Linked DNA regions of Drosophila melanogaster. The protein of the gene in region 3 binds, or shares a complex with, the protein of the main gene of each other region. Each region holds a gene or a part of one and is shown on either strand. Other genes may lie near its edges.

Region 1 (7,612 bases), on a different chromosome or scaffold from region 3:
ATTTTAGAGGCTATACGCTTTGTTCCATAAGTCTTGATCAACAGCCACAGTTTTCAAGTTACAATTGATTTTTTATGTCTTGTTTTGTGAACAATTGATTTCTAAGTGTGCTTAATTGAACGCCCACTGAAACAATTCAATATAAATGTTTGTTTATACCACTTAACGATCATTATTTCTATTTTTGTTATTACCCAAGCCAACAGTATTACTAATCCAAATTAACTGCTTCCAGGAACCCAATCCCGAGGATCCGCTCAACAAGGAGGCGGCCGACGTCCTGCAGACCAACCGCCGTCAGTTCGAGAACAATGTAAAGAAGGCGATGCGTGGTGGCTGTGTGGGCGAGACCTACTTCGAGTGCTGTCTGCTCAAGTGATATAGGGAATCGCAAGGTCTCTTACTTTAAGCCTGTCCATACACCTCCCCCTACACCCGCTAACTGAAGAAGATGAAGCAAAACACAGACGAACATCGGCGACAACAAATTATTGTAATAAACGAAAACAAAATCCACTGCGTGCAAAGAAGAAGCCGAGTCAAGTCACCAATTTCTAGTTTTTAATACAATTCATTTAGCAATTTCGCCCACCCGTCTCTTAATCATAATCGGCATACCCAATGTGGCAATCATCCAAATCCCTCACAGATGAATGCTGTGCCTGGCCATCTGCATATTTCGCCACAGGCAAAGATCAGACACAGCGGACAGTCTTCCTGCCTGGATTCGCAGATCGTATAGTCTGCTGATGAGACCCACTTTTATGTCGTCGGTGACCAAAACTTTCAGGAGCTGTTGCACCAGGCCGTTGGGCAGCAAGCGCAGGACGGGAGCGACCCTCTCACCACCGCATTCCACCAGCAGCGAAATGAACTGATAAACAAAAACGGCCTTGGGCGACAGTTCATCTCCACTGACAAACTGCAGGAACACTGCGAAAATGTGCTGCACGCTCGTCTGCAGTGGTTCTCTTAGAGTAAGCGGCGTAGTCCGCAGTTCAGATGTGGAAGTGGAGCCCAATAATGCTGCCAGGCCAGCTCCGGTCGTAGTGTCCGTAAAGTCGCTTGAGTTGTCGCTGCCATCGCCAATCACCTTGCGCACTTTGGCTGCATTGGCCGCCAGTTCCTCGTCATCGTGAGATCTCGATCGCTTCTTCATGGCCGTCAAAGCGGAAGTGCCATTTCCTTTGCGGCTCTCCAGGCAGGAAATAATACAGTAAACACAGAGGCGGGCCAGTACCAGGGATTGGGGCTCATTAATGTCCTCACTAGAAAAAAAAAAGATTGCCAAATTGTGAGTACGAGTTCTATCATAGCAGTTTCAATTTTTACATCCTTTCTTGCTAAATCGATTCGATTTGTAGATAATAAATAAATGAAATAATATACAGAAGAAAATATTGGTATTTACCCTTGTCGTCGCAGTATCAGTGGAGCCACCACGTACTGGAGCAACGCCTCAGTGGTCTTCTCAATGTCGAGATGCATTACGGCAAACACAACGTCCATGGTTCGCGACATATCCCTTGTGTACTTGCAGGCCAGCAGTTGCTCCACCAACTGCGTGGACAGCCACGCCGCGCCACCGGCTAGCAGAAGCGACTCCAACGACTGAGCGGCGCGAACGGGCAGGTGACCAGCATCGACTACTGTTCGCCACACCTCCCGAAACTGCTCGACTAGCGGGGAATGTGAAATGAGGCGGGACTTGGTACTTGGGGCAGGATGCACATCGTGTTGCATTTTTCTGATAATCTGATAGGAGAGAGCTAGTCGCTCCTTGGCATTTTCCTGGCTGGAAAGCTCTTCGCTGGTCAACGGAGCCAGGAACTGCTGAATCATGTTTAGTGGTTTCAGAAGTTCCGTTTCCTTCACCGAATACATGTAGGCGCATAGAAAACTAGTGGCGCAAACGGAAAAACTGAAAAGTCTTCTCTTAATATTGTCCAGAATACTTTTAACGTCCGCCGAGGATAGCGTTTCCTGCTCCCAAGCTATTAGCACATGATGAAGCACTCCGGGCAGATTAAGGCAAGTCTCCTGCCAACTTAAGTTGTTTGGCTTAAGTTGTGATGCCTCTGGTTTACTGAAGCTAAGCAAAAGCTCGTCGACAATACTGTCATCACAGAGGGCAAGAATTTGACGCGGATTCTTAAGCTTATTCCTTTCCACCATGCACTCACGCACCCATTTTTCAAAAAATGAGTCACCACGCTCAGATAAGACCACCTGAAGTAAAATAGAATTCATTAAAATTGCAGCGTAATAACAGGCGGGTTTACGAACATCGGATCCATAGGTCTGCACAATGCTTGTCAACATTAGGAAGGAAACATCAAACAGAGTGGACCGGATGACGCATAGCTTGCCCAGGTCGCCCGGCACCGGCTTGGAGTTCTCATTGCACTGGATCAGACGCGATACGAATGTCTTGAGGCGTCCCTCGACGGTAGCCACTGAAAGAATCAACTCGAAGCTGTTGCCCACCGGCACTTGGCAAAGGACATTAACCATGTCCTGGACCTTGTTGGTGCACAGCGTTTTTAGTACTCCGGAAAGCGGAACCTCTGCGCGCTTGATGAAGTTTATATTGGAGGGTGTCTGTTGGCCATTGTCGCATTTTTTGAGTAATTGAGAGGCGGCTTCCCTGAAAGAGTTCGTTTTAAATTATATAATTAAGATGGGTGTACAAAATGCATGATTTCTCGACTAACCTTTGACTGGCGAACTTCTTTACGTGGACATCATTGACTAGTTGTTGCTTGGTCCAGTCATTCAAAAGGAACTCGATCATATTGCATGAGCACTTAGTATCCATGAAGTCTAGCAGCAGATTGTCCTCGATGAGCAATTCCAAAGCCTCCACCAACTCGGGTATGTAATCGGCCGGTGGTGGTTGCTCCCCGGGAATCCGTTGCAGGGCGTGCAATTGCTTAATGATGTGCGGCATTTTAAAGAACATAAAGGCACCCCACATAGTGTCAGGACTTGTATCCGCAACATTGCTCAGCGTGAGGAATCCAGCACGGATGATTTCGTAGAAGAGCCGTGTATTGGAGTATTTCTTTAATCGTTGCAGCATCTGCAACTCAGCCACGTAGTAGCTGGTGTCCTTGCACGGATTGAGAAGCACTTCCACCGCCAGTAAGGGTTGCACGCAGCACGAGATCTTCTCGAGTGTTGACGGCGGATTAAGTGGTTGCATTTCAAGATGCTTGGCTTCTATAAAGGCCAACTGCTGCAATTGCTGCTCCACTTGTGGTGCATTTAGCGTAAAGTTTGAGTTCGTCAACGATCCCTTGATGGTAGCGTACTTATCCCGAATCCGTCCACATATTTCGAGCTCTTCGTGACAGCCCACGTACAGCATAGACAGCAGGAACTGCTGCTGGCTAAGCCGATCTATCACCACGCAGGTCTGGTCCAGCATGTATGATTGCTCAGCACTAATCTCACCATACAGTTCATAGTGCTGCACAGTTCTGGCGAAGATTTGAAGCAGCCAGTACACCAAGTGGACGACGGAACTCGGTAAAACCGCTTCCTCAGATTTTATTCTGGAAATAGAAATGAACAATTATTTTTACTCCTGCTTTTTAACGACTTATAAAACTAAAAGGACTTACCGGCAGGTAACGCCATCCACGATGCTGGCCAGGAATTCAAGGAGCGCTGTAATGCAATAAACGCGCTCTAATTTGTCATATTTGGCAATGCACCGAATAACAGCAGCGTGAGAAACGAGATGGGCGCACAGTGAATGCTTCAGGTAGTTAAGAACCAACTGAAAAGCATAGATTACAATTTAGAAAACAATCTAAATACTCAGATCAACTACTCACCGGATTAGCCGTGGAACCAATGAGTGCCTGCTGCATCAGACAGTCAGCCAGATTGTATACATCTCCACTGACTCCTCTCGGCAGCACCTGAAATAGTAATCAAGGGAAAGACAATAATGAAACATTTTCTTTTCCTGTCAAACTTTAACACAATATCTGGGTCACAACCCCATAAAATAAACAGAAACAGAACCACTTAAAAATCTAGTTAGGATTTCCACTTATATAGTTAGCACACATAGTTGCATATTTCGTTACGCGATAAAAAATGTTTCGTTTAAAATTATTTCGCAGTCCTGGAGACGTATTAAGCACTTTAATTAGCGGAGCTGCAACGGATTGCTGCAGGAAGACGTCACATTGTTTGGAGTTGGATCGCGCTCCCGCTGTCGCTGCCTGCTGGATCTGTATGCGGATGATCAGTCAATATCAGTTCAGGACCACGAAACCAGCCTACTATCCAGATCGCCAGCGGGAGGCGAAGCGAACGTCAGCGGGAGCCACGCCTCAACAGGTGTCATCTCCGGCTGTTAAGTACCCGCAAAGCCGAGGCATGCCCAAGGACTACTACTACAAAGTGTTAGGCGTCAACAGGCACGCCACCATCCAGCAAATCAGATCGGCTTTCTATGCGCTGGCCAAGCGCTATCATCCCGACTCGACGCACTCGGAACAAAAGCTGAAGCACTTCCAGGAGCTGTCCAACGCCTACAACATCCTAACCGACGAGACGAAGCGCTTGGAGTACGATCAGCTGGGCGGGATTAAGGATGAGCGCGCTTTTCTTGAACAGGCGGGCAATCCCCTAAATGTGGGCCTCGAGGAGGCCAAGAAGTTCGATTCGGATAAGACGACAAATGATGGTAAGCAGACGGATTTTAGATACATCAAACACCATTTCACTTTTCACTATATCACGATATGAACACGATCCTTGAATCGCCTTCTAGAGATCAACAAACTGAAGAGCAACGAGTTCGATCTGCCACTTGACTTCCTTGAGGCGACAGTGGGATGCAAGAAGCGGATAGAGCTGCGCTACTTGCGGAAATGCGAGACCTGCAAGGGCAAGTCACAATTGATGGCGCATCGGGATGTGGGCAAGGAACCCTGTCGGCGATGCAATGGAACTGGAAAGGTCATGACCAAAACGCCAACCTTCTCATCGGTGAACACATGCACGCAGTGCAAGGGCAAGCGATTCACAAATCGCAACGACTGCGAAACATGTTCGAATCGCGGCTTCGTGGTGTCCAATGTGGATGTGATGGTATCGGTGCCTTCCGGATCCCGGGACGGTGATGTGGTGAACATTATAAATCCGGAAACGAAGCAGCAGGTCACCTACCGCTTGTCGGTGCCGTCTAGCGACTATTTCCGACGCGTTGGCAATGACATTCTAACCGACAAGCACCTAAACATCTCGGAGGCCATTCTGGGCGGATCCTTTCAGATACGGGGTCTGTACGAAAGCGTGGAGCTGCGTGTGGAGCCGGGCACCCAATCCCACACCCAGGTGGTGCTCAATGGCAAGGGGGTGCGCTCCAGGGAGGGCGTGGGCAACCACATCGTCACGCTGAAGGTGCGTATACCCCGGAATCTCTCCGTAAAGCAACGCCAACTGGTTTTGGCACTGTCCCAGGCAGAGGATCCGGTTTTCGAGCCCAAGACTAAGAGCACGGAGGCGGGCAATTTGAGTCACTAAAATTCTCAATGTACCGGCCTCATTGCGTTTACAATATATTGGTAAACACGAACATTGATTGTTTGGTGTGTTGATTTGCTTGGGTTGCCTTGCCTTTTTTATGTTGATGCCCCACTGGGAGTCCGTCCAGCGCTCGCGCCACGCCACATAGATGAGTTGGAGGATCTTGTTGTTCTCCTTCATCTCTCGCGTCCGTGGAAGTAATATAACTTTTACTTTTCTCGTATTTCACGCAATTTATTTTATTTAAACCTAATATATTTTTTAGCAGCGCTCAGTGTGACCGAGGTATCTTTTATTAATCATACCAAAAGAGTACCATAATTTTCCCATCCTACAGTGTTGAAAAACACACAATCTTAAAATTTGTCGCCAATTTTAAATATTTTGAAAATTTTGTTTTTGCAACGAGGAATTTAGCCAAATAAAGGAAATAATATTAAAATATATTTTAAGACACCGAAAAGGCACCCACAAACAAATTTTAATTCAAATAATTTATTGAATACAATAAAGTAGCGTATGAGTTTCATTTGTAAACTGTTTTCATTTTAAACATTATGTTCTAAAATATTTGACTTTGTACAAAATATATTCTATTTATATATGCCGAAAATTGTTCCTCCATTGCACGCTCCGATTTTTTGAATTTCATTTCACTCATCGTGTCGCTAGCTGAATGTTAAATTTTAAATTGAATATATAATATATATATATAGGTGTGGTGTATGTGCTTAATCCGAGATATTTCGATATGATTAAACAATAGCTAGGCGAGAACTTTACATACAAATCGAGTTCGGTGGATTGTCAAGGGAAGATGCGCGAGGACTGGAAAAATAAAAAAATTAAAAACTAATTTGCAAAGGCCGTTTATTTTGTATAAAAAGCTGGCAACTCAAATATCAAAGCGAATCTGTAAATCCGTCTAAATTATTAATTAACAACTAACTTAGGAGTGTATGACAAAAGCATTTCACATTCCAATGGCAGCGCCAGGAACGGAGGCTTAAAACTAAAAAATGTTTTGGGTAGGGAGAGGCCGTACAAAGGAATATTGGCTGGTACAAAACGAGGAAGAATCATCGCTGACAACGTTAAGAGCTAAATTAAGTCTATGACCTATTTATTTACTTAAATACGCTTGACGCCACAGAGCCACCGTCGTTTATTCATCATCATTATCGCCGCCGCCAGTCGCCAAGCATCATTGTAATCACTTTAGCATCATCGTCCTTATTACTTTGAGGAGTGAGTTTCGTTTACCATCGCTGCATCTCTCATTTTTGATCATTGACCTTGTCTAAGCGGATGAGGGTCCCACGGGATCGTCACCCTTCACGGCCGACGCATAGGAGCTACTTGGTTTGTCGACACCACCGGTAACAGAAACAGCCGACTTGCCATCACCGCCACTTCCACCAGTGCCTGCTCCGGCTGCACTTGCACTGCTCGGCGGAACTCCAGCTGCTCCGCCAATGCTCACGCCACTGTTAAGGCCTAGAGTTTGAGGTGAATCAACTAGAGAATTTGTTTCGATTGTGGGTTTGGTTGGGATGTGTGTAAGTGTGAAGTGTGTGCGAGAAGCGAACAGTTAAGCACCTTTGATATCCATGGCATAGTGGTCCTCCAGCCGCAGGTCGTGCCTCTTTATTAGCTGGCACTCTGCGCCCTCGACGGTGGGAATGGAATACACGTACAAGTACCCATCCTGCGAGGCAATCAAAAGTCTACAAATACAACAGAATGAACCGTTATTTAGAACTTGAAATAGAGGCAGGGTAATCAGTTTGTAGTTCAATTTGCACGTGATTCAATTTTTGTTTTATAAACCTTTATGAAATGTACTAGGCTACTTTTGCAAAGAGCATATTAATTACATTTCAACAGAGTTCAGGGAAATTCAAACATATGAAGCCAGATAAAGTAGGTAGTGTAAATGATTTACGCGGAACAACTGCATTGGTATCTAGAACTCAGATTCCCTACCTGAGGTATTAAGCTCGCATAGAATTGCAGTTTTCGAAATTCTTTATAGCTAGGTAGAATTTTATGGCTTTTTCAC
Region 2 (3,369 bases), on a different chromosome or scaffold from region 3:
GAAGAAACAGCTTAAGTTTGCAAAATCTGCGATACATGATTGGGGATTATTTGCAATGGAGCCCATAGCTGCAGACGAAATGGTTATTGAATATGTTGGTCAGATGATTCGACCTGTAGTTGCTGATCTAAGAGAAACAAAGTATGAAGCAATTGGGATTGGGAGTTCCTATTTGTTTCGAATTGACATGGAAACTATAATTGACGCAACTAAATGTGGAAACTTAGCTCGGTTTATAAATCACAGTTGCAATGTAAGTAAGCTGGATGTTCTGACATTATGTTACCAACATAAAATTTTGTTTTTCAGCCGAATTGCTACGCTAAGGTTATAACTATTGAATCTGAAAAGAAGATAGTAATATATTCAAAGCAACCCATTGGTATCAACGAGGAAATAACTTACGACTATAAATTTCCACTAGAAGACGAAAAAATACCTTGTCTATGCGGCGCCCAAGGATGTCGGGGTACACTTAACTAATACTTATTTACAACAATGAATTAAATATTTTAGAGCACATAAATTTAATTTGTTCATAAAATCCAAAGTGGGGTACGTGTAAGTATATATAGTTTTTTTTATAACTTAAAACTATAATTAATTATTATAAAAATTATATCAACGAGGTCAGAGGTGCTGTTCAAAATGGTTTAGGTCTAAATTAAGCTAAAATACTTTACTTATAAAAACAATATGTATATACTAAAACCCATTTGATCTGTAAACACGAACGAAAATGCAATAAATACATTATCTTAAATTTAAAAATAATTTGCCTTTATACAAAAATGTGTTAAGCAGCTATTGTAAATCATGTTTGAGTGTTATTTGCATATCTAATTGAGCCTGAGCAATGCATTCCAAAGAATACTGCATTTTTTCTAGCAAAAGTTCGCCTTTTTGCACTACTTCCTCTAGGTCTCTTGCAGTTCCCTGGTTTTCGATCTCGAGCCTCTTAAGGCTAGAATTTTGGAGTTCAATGGAGCTGTCTTCATTTGGAAGAGACTCGATTAAGGTGTCGATGTCTTTAGCACATCGTGCAATTAACTGTGCAAATAATTGGGCATAGTCTTCTTGCGGCGGACATGGGATTGGCGTTTGGGGTCCAATGCGTTCAAAATTAACAAATTTACTTGGAAGGGACGTTTGTTGAATTACACCAATAGCATTGCAGAAGTGCTCCGCTTGCTGCAATGATTATTTTACATAAAAAACTGGTTATTTCTTAATACGAAGTCACTTACCTGATTAACGGTGTCTTGCAATTGTGTAAGCCGATCCGCCATTTTACTACAGAGTTAATAATTCTGAAAAACAAAAAATTATATGGAATTAAGTTTGATTAGCCAGTTCAAATTTTGATTAACATTTTTAATATCAACATAACATAATCAACATAATATCAACATACAATGACCGTTGGTGATTTTTATAATATATAAGCATTTATTTATCGATTGATTTTATGTCTTATTTACAGATACCTCACAGCAGCGACTATTCTCTTAAAAAAAGAAATGCTATTAATATGAGTTCCACACTAAAACGTGATTTCTTTCAATGAGACGAATTATTCTTGTTCACACTGTGCCATAATAATGTCTTCATTCCAACGATATAAACTACCATAAGATTGTCGGAAACAGTGGAATCTCCATAATATATGACCACACGTTGCACATCGATCCCTCTTGTCTTGTTCAAAATCATCACAATTTCGGTTATAACAAGGAAGCAGTTGGTCTCCAAGTAGTCTGCAACCTCTCTCACACAATCTTGGTATATCCTTGAGGAGGGTATATCGATTTCAGTTATAAGCTTGCAACGAAGTGAAAAAAGCATTTCAGTCCAATTAAGTGGGTATAAATATCAGTAAGAACAGCCGTACCCTTTTTCACGATAATTATTCTTTTAATTTTTAACATATCTAAATCGGTTCACCATATCTTAAAGATGTCATATGAAAAATTTTAAAGCTACCTCTCTTGTTTTTTAAAGGTTTTTAAAAGCAACAAAGATTTTATGATACGAACACTTTGTGCCTCCGATTAGTTTTCTTGTGAGGGGATTTGAATGGGTGGTCAGTTTTACTAGGTATTTTAATTTTCTTCTCAGTTATTATTTCGATAAATAATTTGATTTTTTTCTCTCTGTGTATGTCTTCGTTCCGAAGGTATCACGCTCTAGTCAGAATTCTCAGAATTGTTGGCTGTTCTCGCTGAATGGATGCCCCACAGGTCGGAGCCATAAGTCCAGATTGGTTTTAAGACGGAGTTGTATAGGAGAGCTTTGAACTCCACGCTAAGTGGAGAGCGAGCATGAGCCAGTGAAGGTTCCTTGCATCTTATTGCGACTTCAGTAGCTTATGTATGTTTTGGAACAATAGCTTGGCTAGTTTAAGCAAAAGTCCATCCAGAAACACTGTCAAATGCCTGCGCGACGTCTAGTAAAATGGCTGTGTAATATTCTCGATGCTCAAAAGCAGTACGAATTTCTGACGTGATTCGATTGGCCTGTTCGATGGTTCCATGTTTTTTCCATGACGAGGGCTTATTCCCAGGAGTAGCATTTTTTCAAATAAATTTTAGAGATAAGTTAGTTACTGTATCGGTCTATATGATGATGGCTGCGTTTTATCTTTTCCTGGCATTGGAATCATTACTATGGTAGATTTTTTCCATTTTTGAGGGAAGTATCCATGCTTGGCGATTGCGTTGAACAACAAGCACATGTGCAGAACATCACACTGGGAGTTCAATAAGGATTTTTTGAGTTATTAGGTCGAAGCCAAAATCGCTTCAGTTGCTTTTTGATAACCTTTGCTAATTCACATAATCTAAGTTTGCTTCTGCTAAAGGAGGGAGAATAATGACTTTATAGCAGGATTTGGTAGAAATAAAATTTGTAAGTGGTCAGCAACTGCTCTGGCTCTTTTCTCATCACTGTCTTTTCTCTACAAAAGGTTCTTAGTGCTGGTGGGCATACGTCACTTTGCACCCGAAACTAGAATATTTTCAACAGTGTCCGTTGACTTGTCTATATTTTCCTTAGCAGATAATGCCGGCGTTAGTTCTATGTGTGATCTGGGTCTGGGATTTTTCTTGGGTCTGCTGGTCAGTATGTATTGGATAGCGTGGTGGGCAGTAGACTGCGGCTAGAGTCATTGAACCATTGTTGAGTAGTTAGACTATGGACGTAGATTGAGGTGGTTTTTATGCGATTTCTGATTAGTATGCCAGTGCCTCCAAGAGCTTTACCATCTGAATGATTTGTGAGGTGCGTTTCTGATAGTAGCATTACTCCAGTGTTTTTTTCGGTAATGAACTGTGTGAGTTCTTGTGTATGAAGTGAATAGATATCCGTAGG
Region 3 (3,259 bases):
ATTTTAGAAATCATTAGCGAATGTATCTTGACAAAAGTTTGCAAGCATATCGAATGGAAATTTATCTAATTTGTATTATCTAACTCTTGAATACATTTTTAAACGAAATGAAGTGAAAATCGTTGAAGAAACCGTCCAATTAATTTATGCAAATAATGAATCTGCATAGTTTGTAAGTTTTATACGTATATACGCCTTCATATGAACCACAATTAGTTTATAAATTCCCAACACAAATCTCACATAGCCATGTACATGAAGCTACTAAGCGAGAAACAAGGAAATTTTTGTACACAACTTAAGAATGTCGCTCCTTTCCGTACCATAAGAATCGAATCGAATCTCTATGAAGTGTCTTGTGTTTTCTTTTGTAATAAACGAAACCTGAAAATAAATAAAAGTAATGTTTATCCAAATGTGTTTTCTTTTCATGGAATGTGTTGGTACACTTCAGAATTTGTGGATTTGAATATTTTTCCCAAATTCCAGGAATGGGTACAAAAATGTATAAAAATTCAAATTACTTACAAATTTATTATTAATTCAAAGAATAGAATGAAATGGATTACAAGACATTAATATATAAAAATTTATTTAAAATAACAACAGTTTTTTTTAAATAAAAATTAATTTGCTTAGTAAGGCCAAAATAAAATCTTACAATTTCTATGAATTTACCCATGGAAATTATTAATTAAGTTGTTTCATTTCACATTTTATACTAAAAAAGTTAAGGTAAATATATTAAAAATATTGTAGTTATGGAATATAACTAAGCTAAACAAAAACATTTGGATGTGTAGAAACAACTACGTCTTGCGAAAACTTAGTAAAATAGGTGATATCGCCTCCAGGCAGTCCATAATGTCCTTGCGCGACTTGGCGCCCGTAAATACAACCTTTCCGTTGACGAAGATCAGGAGAACGATGCGCGGCTTGACCATGCGATAGATTAGGCCTGGAAACATCTCCGGTTCGTAGGAACTAAACTGCCCGTGCACGTGGTTGAGGTTCTCCAGGCGGATGGGGAAGCGCAGATCAACGGTGGCCACAATATTCTGCAGCTTGTATTCCATGAACTTTACGGGGAATCCCAGCTTCTGCAGGATGCGTGCGAACTTTCGCGATCCAATGTCCGCCTCAATCTCGTTTCGTGCACCCGTGCAGATGACCTTGCCCGTTCGAAAGATTAGCGCTGTGCACCTGGGCGAGTGCATTCGCATGATGACGCCACGAAAGCGCTTGGGCGAGTACTCCGAGTTCCTCGTACGCGAGTTGATTGCCTTGAGGTCCAGTTCACAGTTCACCGAGAAGGTGGCCACGATATTCCTGCAAGTTATGGATGTATCAATGGGTTTCTATTTATTTCATGAAGTGCCTCTGAAAAGTGGTCAACCAACTGCAATCGTATCTCATGTTGTGCATCCTTGGGCTCCACCAGGGCAACGGGCTGTTGCGGCTGCAGGGCTGCGTGCGGATTGGCGGCAGCATTGCTGGTCGCAGCCACATTATCCCTGTCCCTTTCAGCGTCCGCGACTTTAAAGTGAAACTGCATTGCCGAAAATTATAAACAAATCCGCACGCGACGTGGCCAGTGTTGTCCTATTTTATTGCTGACGAAAATTGTATGCCGGTTTGGTATTTTTATTTGTCTAACTTTTCTCATGACTAAAAAGTCAGCACTGGTCACACTGGACGCTTTTAGCTTGCAAGACTTGTAAACAAAATTAATAAAACTAAAAAGCTGACATTATTGCATAAACTATGGGAGTAACTATCCTTCAACCGTATCCCTTACCCGAAGGCAAATCGGGTGCCCACATAATCGATCAGCTGAGCAAGCGTCTGCTCGCCCTGGGCGCCACACATGCCGGTCAATTTCTGGTGGACTGCGAAACGTTCATCTCGACGCCACAGCCGCACAATGGAGCACCTGGACGCGCAGTCCACGTCCTGCACAACTCCGAGTATCCCGCCTCCACGTTCTCGATCATCGACAATGGCACCGGCAAACAAGTGGCCATTGTCGCCGACAATATCTTCGATCTGCTCATGCTCAAGATGACCAACACCTTCACCTCCAAAAAGCAGACCAAAATCGAGTCCCGTGGCGCTCGTTTCGAGTATGGTGACTTTGTTATCAAACTCGGTTCCGTCACCATGATGGAGCACTTCAAGGGCATCCTCATCGAAATCGAGTACAAGTCATGCGTGATTCTGGCCTACTGCTGGGAAATGATACGCGAAATGCTGCAGGGATTCCTCGGCATTGCTGTGAATAAGGACTTTCCCTCCTATTTCGCTCCACAGACAATAATGACGGCAATGGGGCAACAGCAGCTGCATGCCAAGCACAACGACATCTTTGAGCCAATGGACACCGTGAAACAATACCTGGAGCAGTTCACCAACTATAGGAAGCATGTGACTCTTATGGGCGGTATGGGCAGTGGACCGGGTAGCCAACAGGTTGGTCCGAACGTGCATATGTCGCCGGCGGTGGCGGGACTACATCGATCCTGATCCGCCGACGTCAAGCTGGAGCCACCGGATGAGCCTGCAGCCGATTAAGATGTTTAGAAGATAATTTAAACAAAAAAAATATACATATGTCACTAATATTTAATAATTAAATAATCATTATTTTAAAGCTAGCATCACTAGTTTGCTTTACATATTTTAGACGAATAAACAAAACATTTATTAGCTTGTCCAAATACGTTTAAAATATTATAGTTATATATATATATATATATATATTTTGTGCAGTGTACAGTTTTTTTCATATATTGGTTATTCACTACTTTTTTATGTATTTTTAAAACAGCTGATTGGAATAATGATTAAAGCTGTGTGGTATCCCTGCTCGCACGGCATTTTACCGTTAATGAAATCTGGCCACACAGTAGGCCGAGTACTCAGTACTATCGGGCAAATTGACGAGATTATTTAAACAATAATGTCGGCCCACAGCGGCGGAACGGATTGGAATTCCGTTGTTAAAGCCCTGATACTTAACCGTACAGGAGCCTTAAACAAGAACGAAGTTGTTAATTTGCTCAAAGCTATCACGCGATGGTAAGTACAAACGATCATCTAGAACTTTTCGCCTACCGAATGGCGTAGTGAAAAATTTTCTGCTAGTGCAAAAAGTGACTTGCAAAATTAAATATGGCCGCTCCGGTGACGAAATAGCAAAAAGCTTTGAAAATTCTTTAATATCGAGAACTAACAACGCTCTATTCCGATATTTGCATAG
Region 4 (7,983 bases), on a different chromosome or scaffold from region 3:
CATTTTTAAAGCATAAGGTGATTTCGGTTTGATCGACTTAACAGAATCGGGAATAATCTCTGAGATTTTGTACCAAATTCGCCATCGTGTTGTAAAATTTTATTTATTTCCTTTGGAGTTTTAAATCATTTTTCTGCCAATAAAGTTAAGAAATTGCCTAATAAGATCCTTAGTTTCTATGCATCATAAAACAAAATCGTGTAACTAATGGCTTTAAACTAACTCACTATGCTAGCTTTAAGAGAAAATCGCATAGAGCAACAGGAATATCTCATGACGGCTGTCTTTCTTCTGTCATTCGCCAGCCAGGCTAGCCAAAAGCTCCTCATCTATCCCATCCGCCGATGGTGTACCCGCCGTGCTGCTAAGATTGAGCAGTCCTTCATTGCCAGACTGCGAAGGAGGCACCGGCGGCTTCGCTTCCGGCTCCGTCAGTCCAGTAGAGCTGGCAATAGGTCCTAATATCGAAGATGATGTTCCCGCTAAAGCCGGTTCTGAACTGCCACTTGGCGTGCTGCGTCCACTGGTTGTATTGCCTCCGCTTCCTCTCTGCGATAACTTTGGGATCTGGAATTTGTTGTGGAGCCCCTTGATGAAGCCTTCCATGCTTGCGGCCATTGTCGGAGAAGCGTATTGGAGGATGGTCATCATATCCGTGTGGTGATCGAATCGCGGCGGTGGCTGCGACATTGAGCCGCTAAGGGCCGGCGATACCGACCCCGAAGATCCGCTGCCTCCTCCCGAAGCGGAGCCTAACTTTCGCTGCCCGCTGCCTCCTCCACTGCTGCCGCTAGCCAAGGCTCCCATGCTGGGACGCCGCCTGGGGGCATTGTGCTCTTGGAAGGAGTTAGTGCTGTTGCTCTTAGTCAGCGGAATTCCGCCACCTGATCCCGACCCACTGAGCTTGCTGCTGAGATTGCCCGAGGAGTTTGCCTTCTGGAAGAAATGCTTGCTGGATGATGCCGTGGCGGACGAGACCGCTGCGGTGGCCTTCTTGGAAGCGGGTCCGCTGTTAACGCCCGGCTTGAGTCCGGTATGCTGCTTCTTCGTGGATCCAGTGGACCCAGCGAAGCTCGTGGCGCCGCTGCTGCTGCTCTTTGCCTTCGCTTGGAGGCCAGAGGAGGAACTAGAGCCGGAGCCGGTGCCGGAGCTCTTGCTGCTTCCCGTCTTGTTGATGGTCAGCTTGAGGCCCTCTTGGCTGCTGGGCTTCACCATGTATTCCGTGGAGGCTCCGGCCGGATTGATGCTCCCGGCGGAGTCGCTGCTGCCCCCGCTGGTGGTTAAGCAGCTACTAGTTGGCGCTGCTCCCGGCTGTGGCTGCTGCTGCAGAATTGTTGCTGTTGCCAGCGTTGCTGCTGCCGCTGCTCCCGCTGTTTCCTGCCCCTGACCCACTACCGCTGAGACTGGAGACACCAATGACGCTGCCGAGCCCGCTGCCACTGTTGTTGTTGGTGCCGGAATTGTTGGCGCTAAAGCTGCCGTCGACGTCATCAAACTAACCTGACAAAGTAAGCATGTGGTTGTGTGTGTGTTAGGGACCAAAGAAACCAAAAATAAACCAGAAAAGAAATTATAACAATCAAAAAGGGGAACATCACGTGTAGCAAAAGAAAAAATTGTGGGATTTCACAACCATTGGTAGTGTAGGAAGGGAATACAAACAGGAAGAAAGAAGAATGGACCCCGTTAATAATTAGCTTTATAGTTAAGTCGGATACGAAATATATTTTTGAGGAGAAAATGTATGAGGCAAACGCTTGTGGAGCTACTTTCAAAGTGTACATCATAAGCACATTAAACACTAATTTTAAACGTAGTAAATATTTAAGTGAGAAGGAACTCTTGTAACTAAATCTAGAAAAGGGGAAACAATCAAATTATAATACTCGTAGAGTCAAGATGCCAAGCACTACTAATTTACACATTATTTACTGATGTTCTTAACAAAGCTTAAAAGTCATATGCATACACATTCTTATAAATCCAGCAATACTGTAGACACTATAAACTTGGTGAACCAGTACGCCATGGTTTTCTACATGCCACATGCTGGCCAAACAACTATACAAATCAAACAGATTAACTAATAATAAAAACATACGTTCTCAATGCAGAAAAAGAGGTTTAAGCTGGTGTTTTGGGGATAAGCCCCATTACCATACGAGTTTTGGGTTTGGTCGAAAATAAAACGGATGCAGCAGTATATATGACAAATAATTGAATCATATGTATTTACAAAAATTAGAAAAGGCAAAACGAAACACTAACAAAAATAATAATCATAGTACTAAATATAATCATTTTCAACTACAGCAGAGGTAGGCAAATTACAAATCGTTTTATAGCTAAAGTAAATACAGCATTTGCATTAGTTTAAAGATAGGTTCGCTCTGAGTTTGATTCTGCATTGGTTAGGAGAGGTGGCAGAGAGTCAACTACGTGTTAGGCTTCCAGTGGGAGATGCTGGGGGTGGGTTGGTGTGGTGTGGAGTGGAGCACTTATAATGAAAACGGACTTACCGCACCTCCCGCCATGCCCTTGCGCAGGGCACTCAGCTCCAGTCCGGAGGCCCCCGCTCCAGCGCCAGCTCCTGCTCCCACCACCACTGCGGCTGCACCAGATGCTCCCGCTCCCGACGGGGCCGCATAGCTACCCAGTCCCCCGCCCGCCGCCAGATGCGAAAGACTGGCGACTGACTTCATCTGCTGTTGTGAGGATTTCAGGGCAGCTACTGCAGCAGCCACACTTGCCGGTGAAATACCTCCGCCAGATGCGACACCTGCAGTTGCCGAGGATGATGTGGAACTGGAACCGGATGCCGAAGAGGTTTTCTCCTTCTTTAAACTCTGGCTGCTGCTGATAGATCCGCTCGAGCTCGCTAATGGAGGAATTGGAGGTGGTGGAGGCGGAGCTCCAACGCTGGCAAATGACCTCACCAGGCCAGTAGCTCCGCTGGATCCTGAGGAGGCGGATGGTCCCGAAGATGTGTTACCCACAGCTGACGAGGACTTATCGCCCTTGGGACTTAAGATGGTGGCAGCTGTAGCTGCACTTTTAAGCGTTGACATGCTCGGCTTTCCGGAAGAGCCGTGTTTGGGTGAGTGTGTGCCAAACGGCGACTTCGGGCTGTTGGAGGCGGTGTTGTGCTTGGGACTGCTATACACGGGAGAGTGCTTGGGGCTGGGACGGGCAGTCGGCACTCCGGCCATTAGACCCTGTCCACCGCCACCAGCTTTGGGTGACGACGAGGGAGAGGAAAACTTGCGAACCACTCCACCAGTTGCGGAAGCATCTGCGCCACCTGCAGGCGAGTTTTGCCTAGAATAGATCTTCTCCGGCGGTCCCATGGGCGAATCGTCGCGCTTTTTCTTGCGCTTCTTTTCCTTCTGCGTATCTGAAGAGCCGCTGCTGGCTGAAGACGACATGGAGCTGCCAGAACCACTACAACCGGACGTAGACGAACTACTTGTGCTACTTTCGTGGGGACGCTTTGCGGCCACACCTACTCCAGCTGAAGCAGCGGTACTTTTTTTGGTTGAGTCCTTACTGGGATCCTTGCCAGTTATTGGGGTAATAGTTATAGTCGTGGGAGTGGCACTGGATGAGGCTGTAACACCTCCTCCGGCTATAGCCGCCTGGGCATTCAATGGAATAATTTCGATACCACCCGTTCGCTGTACCTCGACCCCGGACACTCCCCCAGCTGATCCAGACTTTCCATCTCCTGGGATGGGGGTGATGCTGACGCAATGCTTCAAATTTGGAGTCTTGTCCTTCCAGATATTTTTGTACTTGTCAGCAATGTCATGGTCACTCGTCTTGGCGGAGCCGGATGAGCTGGAGCTGCCGCTGACCGTGGTGCCACTGGCCGAACTACCAGACTGTGGATCGGTTTCCCGCTTAAGATTGATCAAACCCGCTATGGCCGCTGCTGCCGAAGTAGAAGCGGCAAAAGCATCCGCTAGAGATCGCGACTTCGCATCCATTTTAAGGTTGTTAATGTTGGCGAAGCCACCTCCGGGTAGGCTTCCATCGGAAGGCGTCGGCGTATCCATTGAAAACTGGCTAAAGTTATTGCCTACTCCTGAGACAGGTCCACCACCACTCATGCCTCCACCTCCGATTGCTCCAGAACCAGATCCAGGTCCAATCGCGCCATGCAGTTTGAATTCGTGCTCCTCATCCCAGCACTTAAGCAACTTGTAGATTACCATCGGAATGGATACCACTTTGCGCGCGGTGCGGGTTAACTTCTGGGACAGCAGCTCGTATTCGTTGGTCAGACAGTAAACGCTGCACGTGGGCTGACCATCCTCAAGCAGAAAATCCACAGTGGCCAGCGACTCTTCGTACGGGTGCTGCAGCTCAACCGTGATTTGATTAAATGAAACGGCGGTTACCTCCAGTATCACAGTGCTGTCCATATCTGGGACGAATGAGCATAAAAAAAATATTATTATCATAAAACAGGAATGTGGGGGGAAGTGGAGCACCCAACTCACCATTATACTGCTTCTGCTGCTCACGAACACAGCTTGCGAGCAGGGTGTAGAAGAGAGCTTGTTTCTTGAGGAACGCCACGATTCGCGGAACCTGGGCGGGTTCAGTGAAGGGCAGTGATGACACCAGAGTTCCCTGCAGTTTGCGGTTGTCGGTAAAGAAATAGCAGTGCGTCTCTTTAGGTAAATTCACATACAGGCCGCGCTGTGTGTTCTTAATGGCCTGCTTCGATGCAGTTTGTACTATGAGATTAAGCACTGTGGTGGGCGGACCAGGAGGAGTGGCAACTGAGTCTAGACCGGGCAGACCGAGAGCCTTTAGTGATTCCAGGCAAACAGGCATGGGTTTGTTCAGCCGAAGCACAAACGTGGCCGGCATCAGCAGCGAGTTGTTCTGGTTAAGTTGGGCATAGGTGGGAACCTCCAACCCCGTTTGGGCATCGCGGACCAAAGTCACCGTTGGCAAAGTCTGCAGTTTGTTGGCTGATGAGCCTTCGAGATTGATAGTGGCACTCAGTCCGTAGCTGCTTCGCATTACCTGGTCGATGGTGAAATCGCCGCTGGCCAGTTTGGGATCCCCTTCGGGAAGGTGGAGCGGCGGGCAGAAATAAGTAAGCCTCATAGGATGGCCACCGCGACGGGGCAGCACAAGACCCACCGATGAACTTGTCATAAGTGAGTAGCTGTCTCCGGAGTGACCTTGCAGGTGCAGTTGGTATAGGCTCTGGATATCCGTCTCCATGGCCTGAAGCGCTACAAACGCCTTCTTTTTCACCTTGGGCTCGGCATTCAGCTGGTAAATGGAGGACAGACCCTCGAGTTGAACCGTAAAGTCTGCAAAGTCGCCAGACTTGAGGCAGGCCACTAGCTCGCTGGACTGTTGCTCGATCTTGCACTCGTGGTGCACCTTGACGTCCGACAGACTGCCGGCGGCGTCCAGCAGGATCTCTACGTAGAACATGTCCGTTGATATGAAGAGAAGCTGCTGGTCCTCCATGAACTTGAGGCCCAACTGGCGCGAGAGGCTCTCCAAACGCTCCACAAGGCCGTGGCGTGACGTGACCTTGATGTAGTGCTGCAACTTGTCCAGCGCCGACTGCAGCGTGGCCTTGCACAGGGGGTCCAGAGGGTAGTGCTTCTCGATAAAGTACATACGCACCGACTTCTTGATCTCCTCGTAGCTCTTTGGCTTGTTCCGGTACTTGGCCCGCAGCTTCTCCATCATGGTTTCCTGCTGGATCTGCTTGTTCTTTTCCTCGATGCTGGGAATGTGGCTGCCGAAGCCTGTGCAGATTTGTGTCAGTGGTGCTCCGGACATCTTAGTTATGGGGGTATATATTAGTACTTACCAGTCCCCGAGGACTTTGCATTGGATCCGCTCATATCTATGCGTTCCTAAGTAAACTGTATTTACTTAATGATGCTGTGGCATTTTTGACAAAGAATTGCGGCAAATGAAAAAGTTCTCGATCTAAATAGCTCAGAACCTTTTTTCTATGCCTTCATCATGGCAAAAAAATTTCAACGCCAAAACAACAAAATGGCTGATCCTTCACAGTGGCTGGTCACGCTATAATAAAATACTGGAATATAAAACGGAACTATGATATTTCCACTGCGTCATTTGATATTCGATGTATTCTGATTCAAAGCTTGTATCAATTGCCTGTTCAATTATGTATGTTATATTTTTTAGTATGAGGGGTAAATATAATGAAGCAATTAACATCTATATTCTATACATCCTTCTGGTACTTTTACATTCTATTTTTTATGATGTAATTGTGCCTCATTTCCTACTCGAATTTTCTCTTAAGCTACAAGGGTATTGTAATGAACAGAAAAGCTCAAACATTCTTTCGTTAAAAAATAAATTACAGGCCTCATAATTTAATACCGATGATTTAATATTTATTTAAAATTTCCAATGATTTCTAAATGTCTTATTGGCATAAAGTTTAATTTGGGGTTTCTGTTCCAAGAAACCGAAAATGATTATTTAAAGTTTCTTGAGATTTGAAAGAAACTATAATCCTATAAAAATAAATATCAGCTAAAAAAAACTTTAAGGACTAATCAAATAAGTAAACAAATACAGCTTACGACTTAAACAAATTTTATTTCGCTAAATTCATGATAAGTCTTAAGCGTTCCTCTCTTCCTCGTACTTACCTAAACTACGACAGATATACGGATTATATTGAATATAGGTTTGGTCCGACAAATCAAAAGTAGTCATAACCTTTACTAAAGGTAGATGTTATATTTCATAGAAAATTGCAAAAGCTTAAATTCAAATTTTATTAAACATTTAAAGTATTTCAAATTTCTGTTTTCTCTAAATTATTTTGGTATATTTATTATCATCAAAGTGCAGAGCGATATTTGTATGCATGCGCGGTCACATTGAGCGTAAATGATAAATATTTGTTATTAAAGTGTTTCGGAACCAAAGGTTAACAATTCAGCCACATGACGTCCATTGCGGGAGGCCACGGCGAGGCGAATCCAAACAGCTCCTGGCTGAGTGCCCGGGGATTTTGGCTAGCATACCTCCTGGGCCTGCTGTCGGTGCACCTGCTCTTCTTATCAGTGCCCTTCGTTAGCATTCCATGGGCCTGGACGGCTACCAACCTGCTTCACAATGCAGTGAGTGCTCATGGCGCCGTTGAGGAGTCAGTCCTTATCCTAATCCCTCTTGCCAGGCCCACCTGTACTTTCTGCACGTCATCAAGGGCGCTCCCTGGCTGAGCACGGAGAACGATCCCAGCCGGCGTTGGACGCACTGGGAACAGATCGATGACGGGGTACAGATGACCACAACGCGCAAGTTCCTCACAGCTGTTCCCATTGTTCTGTAAGTGAATACGTACTGAAAGTCGGCCAATATAGGTGGGTTTTTATTTAAAAAAATTAAAACTAAATGAAGACTTAAATTCTAAACTTGTTTTAATGTTGATCAAAGTATTTCAATAAATACTTTTTATGTACTGCAGTTTAATTGAACTAGTAATGTAATTGCTACCATATAATGCCTAACATAGAAACTCATGAAATAATTGATTTTTTTATAGTTTCCTACTTACCTGTCTGTACACCCGAAACAACACGGAACACTTTATCCCAAACTTTATATCCCTGGTGGTCGTCACGCTTCCCAAGCTGCCGCAGTTCCACGGCGTGCGGCTGTTCAACATTAACAAGTACTAGCTCCTGTGAGAACGGGCCGCATTTATTTTGTTTAATGAAAATGTACATACAAACTTATATTGATGGCACAGCTCTTGCTCAAAAATGTAAATATTGCTAAATAAAATATTTATCAAATTAAATAATTCTAAAAATCGCGTTTCGATTTTTATTGCATAAATAATTATTGATCATGGAAACTACAAATCATCTAAAAGATGTATTTGGGGGCCAGCACATGAGATATTTTATAACCCATTATGTCAGACGATTAAGTAGAACCATGATGTAGTTC

The links.
Region 1: MED20 (region 3) and MED24 share a complex: the UniProt entries of both Drosophila melanogaster proteins name them as parts of the mediator complex.
Region 2: MED20 (region 3) and MED21 share a complex: the UniProt entries of both Drosophila melanogaster proteins name them as parts of the mediator complex.
Region 4: MED20 (region 3) and MED1 share a complex: the UniProt entries of both Drosophila melanogaster proteins name them as parts of the mediator complex.

What each region holds. Positions count from the first base shown.
Region 1 is NT_037436.4:8,189,507-8,197,118, reverse strand, and holds MED24 (mediator complex subunit 24), read right to left. Parts: upstream 5,850-7,612; 5' UTR 5,731-5,849; coding exon 5,641-5,730; intron 5,598-5,640; exon of another isoform or gene 5,548-5,597; coding exon of another isoform or gene 4,793-5,547; intron 4,706-4,792; coding exon of another isoform or gene 4,111-4,705; exon of another isoform or gene 4,003-4,110; intron 3,930-4,002; coding exon 3,843-3,929; intron 3,785-3,842; coding exon 3,627-3,784; intron 3,558-3,626; coding exon 2,715-3,557; intron 2,648-2,714; coding exon 2,287-2,647; intron 2,230-2,286; coding exon 1,412-2,229; intron 1,273-1,411; exon of another isoform or gene 1,269-1,272; coding exon 644-1,268; 3' UTR 546-643; downstream 1-545. Other genes in the region: NEDD8-conjugating enzyme UbcE2M, read left to right, coding at 236-379; CG7387 (uncharacterized protein), read left to right, coding at 4,111-4,705, 4,793-5,547; Atg18a (Autophagy-related 18a), read right to left, coding at 6,851-7,068, 7,150-7,277. UniProt on the Drosophila melanogaster protein: Component of the Mediator complex, a coactivator involved in the regulated transcription of nearly all RNA polymerase II-dependent genes.
Region 2 is NT_037436.4:25,114,415-25,117,783, forward strand, and holds MED21 (mediator complex subunit 21), read right to left. Parts: upstream 1,533-3,369; 5' UTR 1,415-1,532; exon of another isoform or gene 1,311-1,414; 5' UTR 1,290-1,310; coding exon 1,248-1,289; intron 1,192-1,247; coding exon 805-1,191; 3' UTR 510-804; downstream 1-509. Other genes in the region: Set1 (SET domain containing 1), read left to right, coding at 1-253, 310-483. UniProt on the Drosophila melanogaster protein: Component of the Mediator complex, a coactivator involved in the regulated transcription of nearly all RNA polymerase II-dependent genes.
Region 3 is NT_033779.5:8,071,267-8,074,525, reverse strand, and holds MED20 (mediator complex subunit 20), read left to right. Parts: upstream 1-1,677; 5' UTR 1,678-1,764; coding exon 1,765-2,523; coding exon of another isoform or gene 2,524-2,571; 3' UTR 2,572-2,714; downstream 2,715-3,259. Other genes in the region: Trf (TBP-related factor), read right to left, coding at 810-1,329, 1,401-1,555; poe (purity of essence), read left to right, coding at 2,960-3,078. UniProt on the Drosophila melanogaster protein: Component of the Mediator complex, a coactivator involved in the regulated transcription of nearly all RNA polymerase II-dependent genes.
Region 4 is NT_037436.4:21,628,414-21,636,396, forward strand, and holds the start of MED1 (mediator complex subunit 1), read right to left. Parts: upstream 6,034-7,983; 5' UTR 5,883-6,033; coding exon 5,849-5,882; intron 5,784-5,848; coding exon 4,503-5,783; intron 4,427-4,502; coding exon 2,520-4,426; coding exon of another isoform or gene 2,499-2,519; exon of another isoform or gene 1,708-2,498; intron 1,501-1,707; coding exon 295-1,500; 3' UTR 1-294. Other genes in the region: ORMDL (orosomucoid 1-like), read left to right, coding at 6,972-7,148, 7,205-7,356, 7,574-7,709. UniProt on the Drosophila melanogaster protein: Component of the Mediator complex, a coactivator involved in the regulated transcription of nearly all RNA polymerase II-dependent genes.